Pelodiscus sinensis: one gene and its partner. The protein of the gene in region 1 binds, or shares a complex with, the protein of each later gene. Links are inferred from orthologs where the notes say so. Each region holds a gene or a part of one and is shown on either strand. Other genes may lie near its edges.

Region 1 (9,751 bases):
ACCAGAGAGTGCCAGACCATGGAGGTTACTGGACCAGAGAGTGCCGGATGAGGGAGGTTGCCAGACCAGAGAGTGCCGGACGAGGGAGGTTGCTGGACCAGAGAGTGCCGGATGAGGGAGGTTGCCAGACCAGAGAGTGCCGGACGAGGGAGGTTGCTGGACCAGAGAGTGCCGGATGAGGGAGGTTGCTGGATCAGAGAGTGCCGAATGAAGGAGGTTGCTGGACCAGAGAGTGTTGGACGAGGGAAGTTGCCGGACCAGAGAATGCCGGACCATGGAGGTTACTGAACCAGAGAGTGCCGGATGAGGAAGGTTGCTGGACCAGAGAGTGACGGACCATGGAGGTTACTGGACCAGAGAGTGTCGGATGAGGGAGGTTGCTGGACCAGAGAGTGCCGGACCATGGAGGTTACTGGACCAGAGAGTGTCGGATGAGGGAGGTTGCTGGACCAGAGAGTGTCGGATGAGGGAGGTTGCCGGACCAGAGTGTGCCGGATCATGGAGGTTACTGGAGCAGAGAGTGTCGGATGAGGGAGGTTGCTGGACCAGAGAGTGCCGGATGAGGGAGGTTGCTGGACCAGAGAGTGCCGGATGAGGGAGGTTCAACCTGTAGTATGTGCCGGCTGGCTCGCCCTGGGGCTGTGTTCCTTTGTGTTACTGGAGCAGTGTGAAGCGCCCAGAATCGGGGTCTGTGAGGCCAGCGGTGTGTCGGTGCAGAGAAGCCGGACGAGTTTTCCCACACATGCCCCACAACACCCCTACTACGGATCCCCATGGAGTCTGTGCCAGGGGGCCCAGGCGAAAGGAAGCAAAGGTGGCTGGAGCTGGCTGTGCACCGCCTGGATCCTAGGCGGGCTGGAGGCTGCAGATGAGAGCAGCCCTGCGGGGGGGTTGGACGGGGGGGGGTCAGCCCAGGTCCTTTGGAGACTCACCCGCCCTCCCCTGCCTCCGAGGCGGGCTAAGTCGTGGGTGCGAGGGCGCCGTGCTGGCAAACGGACCGAGGACCGCACGGCGTGGGCTGGAATCCGCTCTTGGGCACCCCAAAGGGCCCAGCTGAGGCAGGGCGTGCTCTCGCCCGCACTAGAGCTGGGAGCCCGCCCGGCATTTGCGGGAGCCCGAGAGGCGCTGACCGAGCGGGGGATGGCTCGCGGCGCAGGCAGCCTGCAGGGGCAGCGGGCGGTCTGGGCTCCGGCCCTGCGAGACACTTTTGGGTGGGTGGCGCGGGCTGAGAAGCGTGCTCTCTCCCTGGGAGGCTCTTCCTGCCCGCCGAGCCGGCCCGTGGTCACGGACGAGGCCGTGGGCATTCTTTGTTGCCTTGTGTTTATTTACAAGGAACTTCTTAGCAACCCAGCATTTGCCTCGCCACCTGGGTCAGAGAGCGGCACCGCAGCTCCAGAGCACTCCCGTCCTGCAGGCTGGAGACGGATTGTTTGGGCTTTTGTTCCCTGTAATTAGAGGCTGGCAAATCACTCATCAGAAATATTTCCAGAGCTCTGCTCTCCACCCCCCCGAATGTGCTTCCGCTGTGGTTGGGCCTGTTTGCATTCGCACACGGATTTCCTGGCAGGAAGGGACACCGAGTCTCTGCAAACGCGGACTCGACAGTGCTGGATTCTGACAGCAAAGCTCGTCCGCGGCGGGAGGGGAGATGGTGCCACGGGATCCAACGGCGGCGCCGAGCCAAGCAGCCCTCGTTTGCATATTGAATGAGGACAAGGCGCCCGCGGACAGGCCGAGATCGGTTTGCAGGGCTTCGCCGCTGCACAGTTCTAAGCCACGCGCTCCCCTCTGACAATTCAAAAAGGGAAGAGAAGGCAAAAATCGAGGTGTTTGTGCCAGTTGATTCTCAGCCGGGGGCCGTGAGCAGATGCCAAGGGCCTGCATCCACCCCCAAGCACCCCCTAGGCCCCGCCGCGGGGCCATCAAGCCCCAGAAGGGACTGGATTCCGGTCAGTTAGAAAACGAGTGCCTTGCTAGAGTCTCCAACTCGGCCCCTGGGCAAGCGTGCCCAGGAGAGGGGGCGGACTCCCCAGAGATACTTTCCATGCTCTTCGGGCCAGAGATGGGCCCCAGCAGCCGCCGTTACGGCGTTAAACGTCGCAGCCCGCGGTCCGGAAAGCGATTTGTGCGAAATCAACGACCGGCCTGGGCACAGGAACTTGAGGTGCAGGGGTGCTACAGCACCCCTGGGCTCCTGGCCTAGTGCCCAGAGTCCACAGGCCGGTTACCTGCTGCCTCCTGCACGCCAGGGACCCTGCTGCCAGACCTGGGTGCTCGGGTCCCGGTTTGAACCCAGTGTACTGGGGGACTACTGCTGCTGGCCCCTTGCCTGGGGTCCTGGCTGCCAGCACCCCATGCCTGGCTGCTACCCCATGCCCAAGGGCCTTTGCTGCCTTGCTGCCTGCCTTGGGTGGGGGTGGGTGGAGCTGAGGGTGCTCAGCACCCCCACTTTTAAAATGGTTTGCACGCCACTGCCTCCAGGGGGTTCAGTTCTGAAAGACGAGCGCCCCGCGGTGGCCGGAGAACAGATAGTCGCTAGGCCTCAGTTACCAGGCTGAGGTCAGCGGTGCAGCCTCCAGAGCAGCGGTCCCCAACGCAGTGCCCGCGGGCGCCATGGCGCCTGCCGGGGCACTTATGTGCGCCCGCATAGTGATCAGGGCCGGTCCAAGCCTTTCTCGCGCCCCGGGCACATGGCGCATGCATGGTCCCCGCCCCAGGTACGTGGTGTATGCGCGGCGCCAGCCCTGGGCATGCTGCCCACGTGTGGCATCAGCCCCGCATGCACAGCACACTCGCAGCCCCGCCCCCGGGTGCACGGTGCACACACAGCCCCACGCCCGGGCACTTGGCAGCCCCAGAAGGTTGGGGGCCATTGCTCCAGAGCATGGATGCGCTGCCCTGCCATATAAAGGCTTCTGTCATTATTGATGATTCCGGCATGGGAAGGAGAGTCCGGAATCCCGGTGTAAGGCACAGCCGTTCGGACTGGGGTGTTAAGGACTAGTTAACTCTCCGAGAAGCGAATGCTGACTGGATAGTCAGTCGACTAGTCGGTGTTCCCCGCCCCCTGCCTCTATCAGACAGAGGCAGCAAAGGGGAGAAGACAAGGTATGGCACAGTGGCAGCGCCGCACAGCTGCGCCCGGGATCACTGCTGAGAGTGGAGCCAGGAGTCCCCAGCTGACCCTGGGCTCTGTGCGGCAGGCAGCGCAGCATGGAGCCCGGGGGCAGCGGAGGACTCGGAGCCCCCCCTGCTGTCTCCAGGCTCCATGCTGCACTGCCGCTTTGAAATGCACAAGAGCCCCCGCTGGGCTCCCGCTGGGGACTCTCGTACATTTCAAAGCTGGCACCTGCGTGCAGCCCGAGGTGAGGGGGCTTCCCGCCGGCCCCGGGTGCACATGGAGTGCCGCATGCCTCCTTTGAGATGTACAGGAGCCCCCACTGGGCCCTTGCTGGGCTCTCGTACATTTCAAAGGAGGGATGTGGAAGTGCCTAGCGACTAGTGGATGGAAATTCCTTCGACTAGCCAACGAACCGCTCGTTAACACCCTTCGTTCGGAGCAGGGCCGTCCGCAGCATTGCTTTCGAACCCCACCTCTCGGCCACTAACCTGACCAGCCCAGGTAGCCGGAGCAGGGGTATGACGTAGTGGGGGCTGTCCACTCTGTTTGGGCATGCACCGGGCGCTCGGCGTGGGCTGCGGGTGACCCCTACTGGCCTGCATCTGTGAGCACTGCCCAGTGGGGGGGCGCCCCGGCGCTCACGTCTTCTAGACCATGGCCCAACCGGTTCTCACCTGGGCAGGGAAGGGGTCTGAACGAAGGGAGGGGGCAGTTTGGAGAAGGGGCAGTCTTGGCTGGGAAAACACGAAGAGAAGAGACTGAGCCGAGTACTGGGGGTTCAGGGGCCTGTGGACCCGCCCCAAGGGGTCTAAGGCTACCTGGCCCTGACTCCTATATCCACGCCCCGCCTATGCTGCGCTGTGTCCTGGAGAAGCACTAACCCCTCTCTGTTCTGGCGGAGTCTCATCTTGCTGCAGATGGGGTGCAGGGTCAGGGGGTACCCGATGCGCCGTCACAAGGGGCTACAAGCTAGTGCTTGTTCTTGGTCGGGTGGAACACGTGAGCCGGTCTGGGGGCCCCTCACGGCTCCGGTGCCTCTCTTAGTGTAACGTGTAAAATGCTGCTGGAACCATCACGGACAAGTCCACCTCCCCCGCCTCCAAGATCGTTTCTGCAGCTCAGTAAGGATCCGGAGCCAAATTGGCCACTGAGGACATTCTAGCGGGCTCCTGGGAGCAAGAGCCAGGATGGGCTTGTGAGGCCCTTTCTCCCAGCACCTGCGCCGGCAAAAGGTTCCTGTTGTTATTCACAAGCCCAGAGATTTCCCCTCTGGCCAGCACAGTGGGGACACGCTCTCGGTCTCCAAAACCTGGGGGGAGATTTGGGGCTTACAGAGACGGGGAAGGTCCAAAGGGCCCAGCCCAGAACAATGTCCCCAAACCTCCCTTCTGCGCTACACGGAGCCATCCCAGCCTGCCCAGCTCCATCTTAACCCAGCACCGCCCACGGCCCCCCCGGAGTCCCTCCAGAGCCTCTGAGCAGCCCGCTGGGCCGCCCGTCTCTCCCTGTGGAATCAGCCCTTGCTTCCAGCCGCTGGGAGCTCAGCCTCAGGCCCCGGCAGGTTTTCGTTCAGCCCCAGCGCCTGGAGTCAGGTGCTGCATGAGAGCGTTCACCATCACCAAAGGAAGTTTCTAGTTGTCGGGTTTGTGGGGAAAGTGCGAGTCAGTGGTTCAAAATCCACAAGGCAACTAAGAAACCCCACGTGTGTTAAACCAGTCCTGACAGTCTATGGCTGGGGACTGAGGACATTGTAAGTGCAACCCGGCCTCCCCGCTCGCTGCACCCCAACCCCCCACAGAGAGCCCCCTGCTGCACCCCAACTCCCCACAGAGAACCCCCCGCTCGCTGCACCCCAACCCCCCACAGAGACCCCTGCTGCACCCCAACCCCCCACAGAGAGACCCCTGCTGCACCCCAACCCCCCACAGAGAGACCCCCGCTCGCTGCACCCCAACCCCCTACAGAGACCCCCGCTCGCTGCACCCCAACCCCCTACAGAGACCCCCGCTCGCTGCACCCCAACCCCCCACAGAGAGCCCCCTGCTGCACCCCAACCCCCCACAGAGAACCCCCCGCTCGCTGCACCCCAACCCCCCAGAGAGAGACCCCCGCTCGCTGCACCCCAACCCCCCACAGAGAGCCCCCTGCTGCACCCCAACCCCCCACAGAGAACCCCCCGCTCGCTGCACCCCAACCCCCCACAGAGAACCCCCCGCTCGCTGCACCCCAACCCCCCACAGAGAACCCCCCGCTCGCTGCACCCCAACCCCCCACAGAGAGACCCCCGCTCGCTGCACCCCAACCCCCTACATGGAGTCACTTTGCCCCGCCCCGCCCCGCCCACCAGAAGCGCCCAGACGGCCCCGCCCCGCCCCTGGCCCCGCCCCCGGCTCGGCCCCGCCCCGGCAGGGCTCGGCGCGGGGCGGGCGCGGGCGGGCGGCGGAGCAGAGCTGAGCGGCCCCGCCATGGGCTGCACCGTGAGCGCCGAGGACAAGGCGGCGGCCGAGCGCTCCAAGATGATCGACAAGAACCTGCGCGAGGACGGCGAGAAGGCGGCGCGGGAGGTCAAGCTGCTGCTGCTGGGTGAGCGCCCGCCCGGCCCCCCGCCTGGGGCCCCCCCCGCCCCGGCATCGCCCCCCCGCCCGGTGCCCCCCGCCCCGGCATCGCCCCCCCGCCTGGTGCCCCCCGCCCCGGCATCGCCCCCCCCCCGCCCGGCATCGCCCCCCCGCCTGGTACCCCCCCGCCCCGGCATCGCCCCCCCCGCCTAGTGCCCCCCCGCCCGGCCCCCCCCGCCCCGGCATCGCCCCCCCGCCTGGTGCCCCCCCGCCCGGCCCCCCCCGCCCCGGCATCGCCCCCCCCCGCCTAGTGCCCCCCCCGCCCCGGCATCGCCCCCCCGCCTGGTGCCCCCCCGCCCCGGCATCGCCCCCCCCGCCTAGTGCCCCCCCGCCCCGGCATCGCCCCCCCGCCTGGTACCCCCCCGCCCCGGCATCGCCCCCCCCCGCCTAGTGCCCCCCCGCCCCGGCATCGCCCCCCCGCCTGGTGCCCCCCCGCCCGGCCCCCCCGCCCGGTGCCCCCCGCCCGGCCCCCCCCGCCCCGGCATCGCCCCCCCGCCTGGTACCCCCCCCGCCCGGCCCCCCCCGCCCCGGCATCGCCCCCCCCGCCTAGTGCCCCCCCGCGCGGCCCCCCCCGCCCCGACATCGCCCCCCCGCCTGGTGCCCCCCCGCCCCAGCATCGCTCCCCCCCGCCTAGTGCCCCCCCGCCCGGCCCCCCCCCGCCCCGGCATCGCGCCCCCCCACCCGGCCCCCCTCCGCCCCGGCATCGCCCCCCCGCCTAGTACCCCCCCGCCCGGGCATCGCCCCCCCCGCCTAGTGCCCCCCCGCCCGGCCCCCCCCCCCGCCCCGGCATCACCCCCCCCCGCCTAGTGCCCCCCTGCTGGGCCCCCCCCCGCCCCGGCATCAGCCCCCCGCCTGGTACCCCCCCCGCCCCAGCATCGCCCCCCCCCGCCTGGTACCCCCCCGCCCCAGCATCGCCCCCCCCGCCTGGTGCCCCCTGCCCCGGCATCGCCCCCCCCGCCTAGTGCTCCCCCGCCCGGCCCCCCCGCCCCGGCATCGCCCCCCCGCCTGGTACCCCCCCGCCTAGTGCCCCCCCGCCCGGCCCCCCGCCTGGTACCCCCCCACCCCGGCATCACCCCCCCGCCCCAGCATCGCCCCCCCCACCTGGTGCCCCCCTGTCCCGGCATGGCCCCCCCCACCTGGTACCCCCCCGGCATGGCCCCCCCCGCCTGGTACCCCCCCTCCGGCATCGCCCCTCCCACCTGGTACCCCTCCGGCATCGCCCCTCCCACCTAGTACCCCCCAGCATCGCCCCCCGGCCCGGCATCGCCCCACCCGAACTCCCCCCCCCCGCATCGCCCCCCCCGCCTAGTAACCCCTCCCCCGGCATCAGCCCCTCGCCCCAGCATCGCCCCCCCCGCCTAGTACCCCTCCGGCTTCATCCCCCCCCTCCCGCCCCGGCATCGCCCCTCCCGCCTGCTACCCCCCCAGCCGGTGCCCCCCCTGCCTGATAACCCCTCCTGCCCCGGCATCGCCCCCCGCCCGCCCCCCCCCCCCCCGCCTGGTACCCACCCCGGCACACCCCCGCCTGGTACCCGCCCCGGCCTGGTACCTCCCCCCCACCCCGGCATCGTGACCCCCCCCCGCCCCGGCATTCCCCCGCCTGATAATCCCTCAGCCGGTGCCCCCCCTCCTGGTACCCCACCCGCCTGGTGCCCCCCAATCGGTACCCCCCCCCGTGCCCGCCCCGGCATCTCCTGCTTGGTGCCCCCCCCGTCCTCCCCGGCATCCCCCCGCCCGGTGCCCCTCCTCGCCCGTCCCGGGTGGTACCCCCCACCGCCCCAGAACCCCCTGCCAGATACCCCCCCCCCCCGGTGCCCTCCACCTGGTACCCCCCCCACCCCGGCAGCCCCTGGCCGCCCTGCCTGGTACCCCGCTCCCCAGCATCCGCCCCGCCCAGTACCCCTCCCTCCAGTCCGGTACCCCCCCGCCCCAGCATCCCCCCCTGCCTGGCATCCCCCCTGCCCAGTACCCCTTCTTCCAGTCTGGTACACCCCCTCCCGGCATCCCCCCTGCCCGGTACCCCACCCCGGCATCCCCCCCCCCGCCCAGTACCACCCCCTCCGTTTGCCCTGGCATCCCTTCCCGCCCCTCCTCCAGACCGGTACCCCCCCTCCTTGTCTGCCCCGGCATTCCTCCTCCCCTTTCCCAGTCTGGTACGCTCCCTGCCCCTTCCCCAGTCCGGTACCCCATCTCCCCAGCATCACCCCCCTCCCCGGGTCCAGTACCCCCCCATCTGCCCCTCCCCCAGTCCAGTATCTGCCCCAGCATCCCTTGCCCTGGTATCCCTCCCCAAGTCCGGTAACCACTCCCCCCCCTCCGGTCCAGTATCCCTCCCACGCCTGGCCTGGCATCCCTCTGCCAGGTACGGTATGGCTCTGCCCAGTCCAGTCCGCCTGCCATCCCCGCACCCCGTCCGGTCTGCCCTGCTCCACCATCCCCCACCTGCTCCAGCCTGGTATCCCCACACCGTCTGGTCTGCCATCTCTCTCCAGCCCCCCACCCTGCCACCCCCCTCCCTGCCTGGCCTAGGTGAGCCCTGCACCCTGGCTGCGCCGCCTGGCTTCTAGCACCCTCCAAGATGAACCCCCCAGCCCAGCCTCTCCCGAGTTCCCTGCCTGACTGGGGTACATCCCAGCATCCCCAAGGCTCCCAGAGACCTGCCCCCCAACACTCAAGTGCTCCAGCCCACCCAGTCACCCTGTGAGAGCCTGCACCCCTCAGGACCCCCAAATGCCCCCCTGCACCTGCTCCCCAGGCAGGCCCCCCTAGAGACAGACTGCCCCAGGCACACCCGCCAGATACAGCTCCGGCCTCCACCCCACATGTGGCAGCCCCCACATGCCATGGGCCCCCCAGCTCCTCTTCGATGGAGTCCTGGACCTCAGCCCTGCGTGTACCCCACCCCCCTTTCCTCTCCCTGCTCCCCCACTGCCCTCCCCTGCCTGGTAAATTACCAGTTCCCATCCCACCCCTGCTCTGCTGCTCCCTGTCTCCCCCAGACAGCCAAAGAACCCCCCCAGCTGCCCTATCCCTCTAGGAAGGCAGCTCCTCCCCCCCAGCTGCCCCTCCCTCCCAGAGATCCCCCATTCCCATAGCCCTACCCATCCAAGCCATCTCCCTCTCTGAAGGCTGGTCTGCACTCCAGCCCCCCTGCCTCTCCAGCCGGGCACCCTCCTGGTGTTTTCCAGCCCCCTGCCCAAGTGACTGCTGGGGGAGGGTACCCATTTGGGGGGGGGGGGGAGTTGGTGGAGTTAGGGAACTCCTCAGCTGTGGGGGGGGGGGGTCGGAAAGACGGTCTCCCAGCCCACTTTGGGGAGGGCGCTGCGCTCGGTGTGGTGAGCCCCTGTGTGAGCCGTGAGCTCAGCGGGGGGGCGGGGACACACGGCTTGTTGTTGATTCTTGGTTCCCCTTTTTCTGAAACTCTTGGCACGCGGACTGCGCCCGGATAGTGCCCTGCGCCCCCAGGGCGCCCAGAGAGCGGGGGGGCTTGTGTCTGTAGCCCTGTGTGCTGCTCTCCGCCTGCACCCGGTAGCGTCACGCCAGGCGAGAAAGCGCTGAGTTCAGAAGGCCCTGCCCACCCTCGGGCTTGGGGAGCGGGGGGAAGCCATTGGCTCGGCAGGGCCACGCGAGCAGGGGCTGATGGCTGTTGCATGGCGCGCGTCCCCTGGAACCACGCTCCGGCCGGCCGGACGCTGGCCCCGCTCGCTCGCTTCGCCCGGTCCAGCCTGCCTTGACCGCTCCTGAAACGTTCTCCCGCTTGGCGGCGGCTGCGAACGCAACAGAGCGTCGGCCCGCCCCGGGCTGGGGGCCCGCGCTTGGCAGGCGGGCGGCTCGGCTCTGCTTTCTGGCGGGGGAGCAAAGCGTGTTTCTGTGCCCAGTGTTAAAGGGCCTGCCACCGCCTGAGGGGTGCACCCCCACGGGAGGGGGAGGAGAGGAGGTGATTAGGAAGGGGAGGAGAGGAGGTGATTAGGAAGGGGAGGAGCACGTGATGGCAAAGCAGTCTAGAAAATGTCTG
Region 2 (9,915 bases), on another chromosome or scaffold:
TGTCTTATTTAATATGGTTTAAATGGCTATTTTAATCTAAAGCACTTCTCTATCTTATGTGACAGTTGTCTAGGCACAAGAACATTTCTACAGCTCAGAACAATCCTTTGTGCTTTTGTATTGTTTGAACACTTTTTTTCTTTATTTTTAGCATGTTATTGTGTGATGTTTCTATTGCTTTTCTCATTTATGATTGTTGGAAATGTTTTGTGTAGCTTAATTTGGAAAAGGACACTCAATATTTGTCTTCTACTTTAGCTGTTAAATGAACTGAGTGTTGTGGAAGCAGAACTACTGTTGAAGTCATCCAGCCTGGCAGGAAGTTACACAACAGGATTATGTGTGTGCATTGTTGCAGTTTTGCGGCGTTACCATGCCTGCCTAATTCTAAATCCAGAGCAGACTGCCCAAGTTTTTGAAGGGTTTGTAGCCGCTGTATTTTTTCTATGTTTATTGCATAATTAAAATTGTATTATACTTCAGCGGGTAGCCAACTTAGTCTATACAGGTAAACTGAAAAAACAACAAATAGTCTGGTAGCACGTAATAGACTAACAAAATACGTAGATGGTATCATGAGCTTTCGTGAGCACAGCCCACTTTCTGTGCCCACGAAAGCTCATGATACCATCTACATGTTTTCTTGTATTGTACTGGCATTTGAGCTATTAAAATATGTGTCAGCTGTATACACTGAATTGCTATAAATTGCTCAGGAAAAGTTTAAACTATCACAAAAAATAAAATGTGAGTGTTTTTGTTTAGTTTAAACTTAAGTGATTGAGGAATTGACTTAAGCTAACTTGATAAAACACTATAAGAAAGATTTTACATCAGTTTCCATTAAAAATTATTTACACACAGTGCAATAGTTTCTCTTCAGATTTTTGAACTGATTTAAATAAGCTGGTTTTAAATATTCATTGAGATTTGCAGTATTTATCTGTCCTATTAGATATATGCCTGAGAGTAGTTTATAGAATATTTTACTCAAAAGTAGTGTAACAGTTTGCTGTTGTTGTTTTTCCCCTTTGGGTTAAAGTTAATCCCAAGTGCTCCACTGGGTTGGGCATTATACAAACCTCATATAGGACAGTCCTTACCTCAAAAGCTTACAGTGTATAAATGACAGGTGGTGTAGAACACACTGACTTCTTAAGTGTGGCAGTAAGGGTGTACAGTAGGTAATGATTCAGTATAAAATCATTGATGCAAAGAATACTGTGACCTTCCTTCCTCAACAGTGCCTTATAGACAATCACGGTAGAGCCAGATAAACTGGGAAATGTTTGCTTCCATGTACTATTACAGAGATACTAGATGAAAACTGAATTCCATTGGAGCAAAGCCAAATTAAAGTGTGAAATGTTTAGTCCTTTGTGCACAGTGAACTTGTGATGTGCTAGGTTAGCAACTGTTGCACGTTTTTATATCATCGTCTTTAGGGTACAAGGCACCCTCTAATCTTTTCTATCCATGTGCAGATTTTTTCTGTCCATGTGCAAAATAAATGTTTATGCGCCCGAGGAATGTGCAGATTGACCACTACCAGTAGAAACAAAACATAGCTGTGGGTGCTCTGCTAATCAGCTGGGCATCATTGGAGTCTCTCCTTAGCAGTCTCAGAAGTACACACCTTGCAGGGAGCACTGGTGCCAGGCTGTAAAACTTTGATCTGTTTTCCATGGCCCAGATTATGCATTGAGCTCTGTTTGGGCACATCTCTGTGGCCTGTATGGAGCCCTCTTGAAGTCAGTGTGACTCCCCTTGTACGTAATTTGCTGCAGGATTGTGTCCCATATGTGTAAAATACTCTGAACGCTTTACTATTTTCATCTGAAAATTTGAAAATTTGCTTCCAATGAAACCCTTTATACCTATAAAAATGGCATCCATTTTGACTTTTATATGGACATAGACCATCTTCTAATTCTTGGCATGGGTATGCTAGTTTTATAATGTTAAAACGCATAATTAGATTTTAGGGAGACCAGGTGGGTGAGGTAATATCTTTTATTGGATGGAATTCTTTTGGTGAGAGGGGGCAAGTTTTTGAGTTTATGCAGAGATCTTCTTCTGGTCTGGGAAAAGTACTCACAGTTGAGTGCAAGGTGGAACAGGTTGTTAAGACAAGAAATTAACATGTTGCAAGAGATCATTCCAAGTGAAATGAACAGTTAATACATTTTCAAAAGTCTGAGTTGGGAATTAATCTCTGATTTTTTTTCCCAGATTATGTGGTGTTGTCAAGCATGTTGTTAATCCATCAGAGTGTTCTTCCCCTGAAAGATGCATTTTAGCTTACCTCTATGATCTCTATGTATCATGCAGTCACCTACGAAGCAAATTTGGGGACCTTTTCAGGTTAGTAGCACAAAGCTGTTACAAACTAAAATTACTAAAAAGCTGACTCCCGCCTTTCTGTGTTATATTAATTATCTTTCAGTTCAGTTTATCTGCTCTTGCAAACACATCTTTTCTACTTTCTGGTTTTCCTTTTCCTTACTTGGGAACCATTTTGCCTACAAAAGACTGTTTCAACTTGAAAGCCCTAGTCTTGATACTGTTTGAGTGCTGAACACAGCAGGCATACTTCTGTGTCCACTGACACTCCACTGAAGTCCTGAGGCTCCACAGGTCCACCTGCATGGAGCTTAGTGCAGGAAGGACCCAGGTGGAGAAGTGTGCCTGTGCTCATACACAATGCTAGCAAAGTCGTTTAATTCCCTTCATTGCAGTTCAGTTTTGATTAATGTAAGATACTCTTTAATATACTTGTAAATTAACAGTAATAGCTACACCAGCATTGAAGAGAATGAATTCTGCAGTACTCTGCTCACTAAATCTTTCATTAGATATAGGTAGAGGGACAACAAAAAGTGTGTAGTTTGAGATGCTACATTGCCAAAGTTTCAATTTCTTGTTCTGGATTGGAATCTTACTGTAGAGACCTCAAAAGTCAGAATTTGTGGCTGTTCTGAAAAAGAACTTTTATCTGTTTGCTTGTTTATTGTGAAAGTTACAAGCCAGCTTAGTCACAATTATTTTTTCATTTATCCTTGTGGTTTTGATCTGCATGTTTCATGTTTGAGGTTTGTATTGCATAGGTATCTGTGAGAGTTCTCAGTAAGAGAACTTGCAGATATTGTAAATGGATTTTATAAATGCACATGAACAGTGTTTCTCCAATGTTTCTTAGTAAAAAATTATCAAATATACGGTAGCTTCTTAACTATAGATGGTTTAACTGTAAAATAACTGTACATTTATTCTACTGCTAACCCCATCCTCATATTTTTCAACTACAAAAGTTACAGCTTAATAGAAAATATAAAATAGCAACAACCATCCCTCAAAACAAACACAAAATAAAATCCCCACAAACAAAAATATATTTTATTGGTGTTCTATAATATTTTAAAATGGCATGGTAATAACATGAGAGTTCTAACTGCATTTGTACCCAGCACTTTTATAACAGGTTTCCTGTCCAGGGTAATTAGAAATGGCTGATTTAAAATACAAATCCTCTGAAAACAGGTAATTATAAGGAAATACAGGGATTCCTTCACTGTAGCAGGGTGCATATGTTACTAGCAGAATACTAGTTTATTCTATGGAGCTGCCTTACCATGTATAGTGCACAATATAGTTAACTATTCCCAATCATTCCTTTAGCTGCTTTCTATGACACTGCAGGTCCCATTGGTTCCCTTTTGTAGTAAATTTCAAAATAAATTACAATGCCTCATTTAAGTAAGCATTCACTTTATGCTCAATTCTTACCTTCTGTTGACTTTAGGTTTTAAAGGGGGTTTCTCTGGCATCATCCTGAACAAGCTTGCTGAGGCTTTCAGCCAGTTTTGCATGCTAATGTTCACTGTACTTCCTTTTTTTCAACTGTCTCTTCACATTTTTTTATGTTTCTGATCATCTGACCACTCCTTCAGCATAACACGTCAGAAACTCAGTTTGCCAATCCACTCTCTTAAGATATGGCTAGTACTGTGACCATTAGAAAAGAAGAATAATCCAGTTTTGTGTTCCAATCCGTAGAATAGATTTTGTATAAAAAGTACCTAAGTCCCATTTTCAAAGCACCCTAGAGGAAAGGACATTTGTATCTCAATAGGATTTAGGCTCCTGAGTGGCGTCTGGTGTTTTGAAAGTACAATGCGAGTCTCTAATTGACTGGTTATGGCCTTCTGCTGCATTGTATGTGTACCATGTTGCTTTTCAGGAAGCGAATGTATTCCATAAGCCTGTTTTACATATATTAGCTAGGTTTGAGGTGACACTGACATTTGTTAGATTATGGTCAGATTGTAACTGGGGGGTTGAAGTGTAATGAACTTTTCCCCTTCTTCCCGCACCACTTGTGAAAGGGCCAACCACTGTGTGTCTAGTGAGTGAATTCACTGCTATATGCTGCAATTCCACCAGTACCGACTTATTGCGGGGGCGGGCAGTGTGAGGTGTGGGCCATGTCCAGATGCTTCAAAGGAAATGAACAGAAAACGACAACTATCAAGTGATCCAGCCTCTGTCATCCAGTCCATCGTAGACTCTTTCTAGACTGACAGTTTCTGACAGTCAGAAGCATAGGGAGACCTAGAGCATGGGTTTGCATCCCTGACCATCTTTGCTAACAGCCATTGATGGACTTTTCCACCATGAGCTTATCTAATTCTTTTTTTTAAACCCAGTTATAGTTTTGACCTTCACAACATCCCTGGCATTGAGTTCCACAAGTTGACTGTACATTGTGTGAAGAAATACTTCCTTATATTTGTTTTAAACTTGTTGCCTATCAATTTCATTGGGTTGACCCTTGGTTCTTATTTGATGTAAATGGATAAATATGTTGTGCTTTAACTGCACAGGATATTTTCTTATTTTTTAGCCTCTTATTGATCCATGATAGGACTTTCCCTCTTATCCCATTACTGCTTAGTTGGCTTAAGAGCTTTTGATGAGGGACTTTTTCAAGGTATTCTGTAACTTCAGGCTTGATTATTTTTATTTTTTTGTATTTTTTAAAAAGAAGACAAATGTTGCTACCCTCATCCTTTCTCTTTATTGATTGTCCTATGATTAGAGAATACTTTGAATAATGTGCTTGTGTGATATGATAGGTCTGGATTTCCTTATGTGTATCCCATTTATACTAATGGAGATGACAACAAGTGATGAACCAAAAGACTAATGAAGCTTGTCTCTGTAATATACAATTGAACACCATAGCCATGTGGAGCAATGGCCATTTAAATTCTTTCTGGTTGTGGAAGAGGTAATGAGAAAAAAGGCAAAAATTCAGAAACAATTGTTACTGATGGCCTCTTGTTCCTATAATTTCTAGTAGTGGCCTGACTCTCTCAGTGCATCTGTGTTCCCTCTCCCGCGCCTCGCCAGCGTTTTGGAAACCGCTCCTGGGGAGGTGCAGTTTGTTTGCACCGAGGCCTGGTCTATGCTTAGAAATTAGGTGAGAATGCACCTCTGGCACTCAGGGTTGTGACAAATTCACACAGAAAAACTCTAGGCAGTGTCAAAGCTGTGGCGCTACTAGCAGAGCAGCCATGACTCTACTATGCCACAGTAGCACACACAGTATATACAGCTTGGATCTTCCTGATCTGGCACCCTCGGGAACTGACCGGTTCTGAATGAGAGAATTTTCCAGGCCAAGGTAGGTTCCCCTGCTGCTGGCTTTTTAATCCTCCACTGGCTCAGTTTCTAGCCCTGTCCGGTTATGCTGCTGAAGGCTCCAGCTGGGCTGCCTGCTGACGGTCTCAGCTCTGAGGGCTGCTGTGCAGCCCTGGCCCAGCTCCTCTGCCGGGCTGCTGCCCCCCCCCTTGTCCCTGCCAGGCTGCCACAGCCCGGTCTCCCTGTCACACCGTTGTAGCTCTGGATCCAGCTCCCTTGCTGGGCTGGTGCATGACCCTGGCTTTGGCTCCAGCTCTCTGGCATGTGCAGCTCTGGCCCCCCACCAGGGTGCCATGTGGCCATGGCTCCCCAGTTTGCGTGGCCTCCCTGCCAGGTTACCATGGGCCCCATCTCCCTTGCTGGGCTGCTGTGCAGTCCCAGACCTGGCTCTCCTGCCAGTCCTCCTACTCATGATGCCTTGGCTCCCCTGCCAGGCTGCTGCTAGCCCTGCCAGACCATAGATGTTGCCAGATCAGAGAGTCCTGGTTCAGGGAGGTGCAACCTGTATTAGGTCTTTCCACTTCTCTTCCGCAATCAGAAACTCATCTTCCCTAGTTTTGAGAATGGACTAAGGATGATAAGGACTAGTTGACTATCTGATAAGCAAATGCTTGTCAGATAGTCGAGTCTACTAGTCGATCTCCCCTCTCCCCCCCCCCCCCCCCCCGCTGCCTCTATCAAATAGAAGCAGCAAGGGCGGGGGGGGGGGGGAAATGGGGTACTTAAAGCAGCAGCACCAGATGGAGCCTGTATTGAGTTCCCTACAGTGCTGCCACTATGGGGTAGCACCACACAACAGATCCTGGGATCAGCTGCCATTTCCATTTCAAAGGAGGAATGTGGAAGTGCCTATCCTCTAGTTGAGTAGTTGATGAAAATTCCATTGACTACTCAACTAGTAAATTACTCAATACTTAATATCCTCAGAGTGGACCACGGTGAAAATCCCAAGAAGAAGTTATTACCTAAAATATATTAAATGAAAACAAGTTTGTTAGAAAATGGAATTTGAAATTAAATTGGAGCTAAACAGTACTAAATTTGACCACAGTACTAAACTAGACCTAGCTTCTGGTAAGCAAAGAAACTTTTATTTGCAGGAGAAATTAAATGCTCTCATCATGAGAAAATTCCTGCCTCTGATGTTAAGCCTTCACTGCAGAGTTAACATGGGTAGTTGTCTTGGTTAGCCTAGCCTGGAGGAAGAGCTACACTGCAACACCACACCTACATTACTGTGTCCTCACTGGTGCTGCACTCACCTATGTGAGTGACTTCTGGTGGCATGTCCCATAGCTCTCTCTGCTGCTTCAGTAAGCTAAGCCACTCTGTGATTTTTTTCAGTGAATTATGAAACAACGCATCTGTCCTTCTGGGGTTGTGGAGGAATTATGGGAAGGCATTGGAGGACTTCAGTAGTTTAGATACATCCTCACTGAAAGTGAGTAGGGTTCCAGGCTGTATAATAACCTCACTCAGCCTTTAGCATGAAACAAGCCGGCTAATCTGAGAAAACCTGACCCCAAGTTTAGTGTTTTCATCTCTGTACAGGACAAGGGTTGAGGGCAATATGCCAATTAGAGCCTGAGTTAACTTTGAATTGAAGACTTACTGTGAAGGATTTGATCCCAGTGTCTGAGCTCCATTTCACAGAATCATAGACCTTGAAGGGACCTCAAGAGGTCATCAAGTCCATTCCCCTGCACCCATGGCAGGACCAAGCATCAATTTCCCTGGGGATCACATCCATTTCTGACCCACGAATACTTCTGATCTGATCTGATAGCTTCTTCCCCAACTTGTATTAGAGTTTACTTTCTTTGTAATTTCTCCAGAGTTACACATATCTAGTTAGATCAGTGCAACCCCTCTGTAGACTTTCTGTAAGCAACTTAAGTGTTTTATATCAAATCAGATTCCACTAAATTGACATAAGGAACTCTTAAGATGATTTCTGAATTTTGTTAATCTTACTGATGTAAATAGGGCCTTAACTATGGAGTCAGAGCCAGCATCTCATTAATTAATGTAAATGTTCTTTGGGATCTTTGCATATGTTCTTATCTGCTTTCTAGGAACAATAGCTTTTCTCCTGCTGAAGGAGGTCCACTAACATGTTAATACCCTGAGCCTATACTGCCTCTCTTTTGTGTGTATTGGTAATGTCACAAAAGCATGACATTCTCATATTCTCTTTCTGTTTATTGATAGTGACCGTCAAGAAATCAAAGATGATATCCAGTTCATTGTAACAATAATTAAAAAGCTATTATCAAACCTATCTTTCTAGGTTGCTGAGGTTTTTTTTATTTTTAAAAATTGTCAAATTCTGAAATTTTACACCCGCACACACTCCAGTTAACTCAGTAAGTTGTGAATGCAAAGAAGCAGCATTAGTGTATATTTATAAGGCTATGTTATGCTGTGTTGAAATCATTACCAGAAAAAGGTTTGATCTGATTGATCTGTCTGCTCAAGCTTTAAATAAACATATCACAAAGCTGGTATAAAAACTTGTGAGTTGATGTTATTGCTTCAGGAAAACTTAATCAAATTTTCAGAAATGGTGTCCAGAAGAGCAATCTCAGTTGTGCACTGCAGTGCCTCCAAAGAGAATAAGATAGACTTTATGGCTACGTCTACACTGGCCCCAAATTCCGGAAAAGGGATGCAAAGCAGTTAAGTCAGAATAGGGAAATCCGCGGGGGATTTAAATATCCCCCGCGGATTTAAATAAACATGTCCGCCGCTTTTTTTCCGGCTCGGGGAAAAGCCGGAAAAAAGCATCTAGGCTGGTGCGATCCTCCGGAATAAAGCCCTTTTCCGGAGGATCTCTTATTCCTACTTTATTCCGGAGGATCGCTCCAGTCTAGACGCTTTTTTCCGGCTTTTCCCCGAGCCGGGAAAAAAGCGGCGGACATGTTTATTTAAATCCGCGGGGGATATTTAAATCCCCCGCGGATTTCCCTATTCTGACTTACCTGCTTTGCATCCCTTTTCCGGAATTTGGGGCCAGTGTTGACATAGCCAATGGGATTTAACAGTTATTAGATGAACTCTTTGAGTAATACTTAGTGGCAATCTTGTTTTAATCTGTATCAATATTTCAACAATTCAAGCCATGTGAACAATGTTTTTTTCTCTCCTGTTTTTAACCCTTAGTAGTGCTTGTTCAAAGGTAAAGCAAACCATATACAGCAATGTACAGCCCTCAAACTCCAACTTGTTATGGGATCCCGAGTTCATGTTGGATTTTATCGAGAATCCCTCTGCTCATAGCATCAACTACTCGATACTAGGCAAGATCCTGAGTGACAATGCAGCCAATCGCTACAGCTTTGTTTGTAATGCACTCATGAATGTATGTATGGGGCACCAAGATGCACTAAGGTAAGAGAAATTGATTCAGATATAGAACTATAGAAGTAATTGAAATAAGGGTTAGTGCTTCAGTGAAATGAAGTATCTGGGATATTATTAGAACTAATTGGGGCTGTTTATGTGCATGTTGTCCTTCCTTCCCCTTTTTTCCTCTCCCTTTGTATTCTTTTGGTTTATCTTCATTGACAGATTTCCTGGGTTGTTTTTTTCCCGATTCAGAGTTGTACAATTCTTTAGAATAGGTTTCACCAAGACTGCATCAGACTGGTTTGCATAACATTACGAGGATTAATAATAGGTGTAGGCTTCTTTGCATCACCAAATAATATAAATAGCAGCCTATATGTAAAATTACAAGAAAAGTTTTGTAAGACACAAGGTACAATTATTAGCTTCCTAGCAAGAGGAGACTTGTTATGCTTTTCTCCATTTCTCAGGATTCTGACACTGGATTGCTCTCTCAGCAAAATTATCATCACATCCTGACAGTATCCTCATTTTCAAGGAGTGTTGGGTACTGATCAATTCCCTTCTCCAGATGAAATATATTATTTTATTATATTAATTAATTAATTTATGGAACTCCTAGCCACAGGATATTGTTGAGGCCAAGTACTTAGTTTAAAAGAGGGATTGAACATTTAAATGGACATCCAGGTTTGTTATAGCTAATTCATTAAAGAAAAGTTTTGGAGGGGAAATAAAATCTCCTGCTTTGGGTTTTAAACCATTTTTCTTCTTATTAAGGATGTAGGTGAGACCTACATGAGATCCCACAGCTGTCCATTATGGGGCTTTATGTACCTTTCTCTGAAGCATCTAGTGCCGGTG

Evidence for each region.
Region 2: the proteins of GNAI2 (region 1) and P2RY12 are in contact, whole or in part, in a cryo-EM structure (PDB 7XXI), measured with the Homo sapiens proteins. The link is inferred for Pelodiscus sinensis from reciprocal best matches to the Homo sapiens genes GNAI2 and P2RY12. Residues at the interface, in NP_002061.1 of Homo sapiens: Arg24, Glu28, Ala31, Arg32, Leu195, Glu319, Ile320, Tyr321, Phe335, Phe337, Asp338, Ala339, Thr341, Asp342, Ile344, Ile345, Lys346, Asn348, Leu349, Lys350, Asp351, Cys352, Gly353, Leu354, Phe355; in NP_073625.1 of Homo sapiens: Phe59, Asp121, Arg122, Lys125, Thr126, Pro129, Phe130, Thr132, Asn134, Pro135, Ile212, Leu216, Ser219, Tyr220, Arg222, Thr223, Arg224, Val234, Lys237, Ile241, Leu301, Cys302, Lys303.

Annotation. Positions count from the first base shown.
Region 1 is NC_134721.1:45,346,342-45,356,092, forward strand, and holds the start of GNAI2 (guanine nucleotide-binding protein G(i) subunit alpha-2), read left to right. Parts: upstream 1-5,525; 5' UTR 5,526-5,586; coding exon 5,587-5,704; intron 5,705-9,751. UniProt on the Homo sapiens protein: Guanine nucleotide-binding proteins (G proteins) are involved as modulators or transducers in various transmembrane signaling systems.
Region 2 is NC_134720.1:27,021,853-27,031,767, forward strand, and holds the start of P2RY12 (P2Y purinoceptor 12), read right to left. Parts: upstream 3,922-9,915; 5' UTR 3,787-3,921; intron 2,365-3,786; coding exon of another isoform or gene 2,233-2,364; intron 423-2,232; coding exon of another isoform or gene 259-422; intron 1-258. Other genes in the region: MED12L (mediator of RNA polymerase II transcription subunit 12-like protein), read left to right, coding at 259-422, 2,233-2,364, 8,866-9,093. UniProt on the Homo sapiens protein: Receptor for ADP and ATP coupled to G-proteins that inhibit the adenylyl cyclase second messenger system. Not activated by UDP and UTP. Required for normal platelet aggregation and blood coagulation.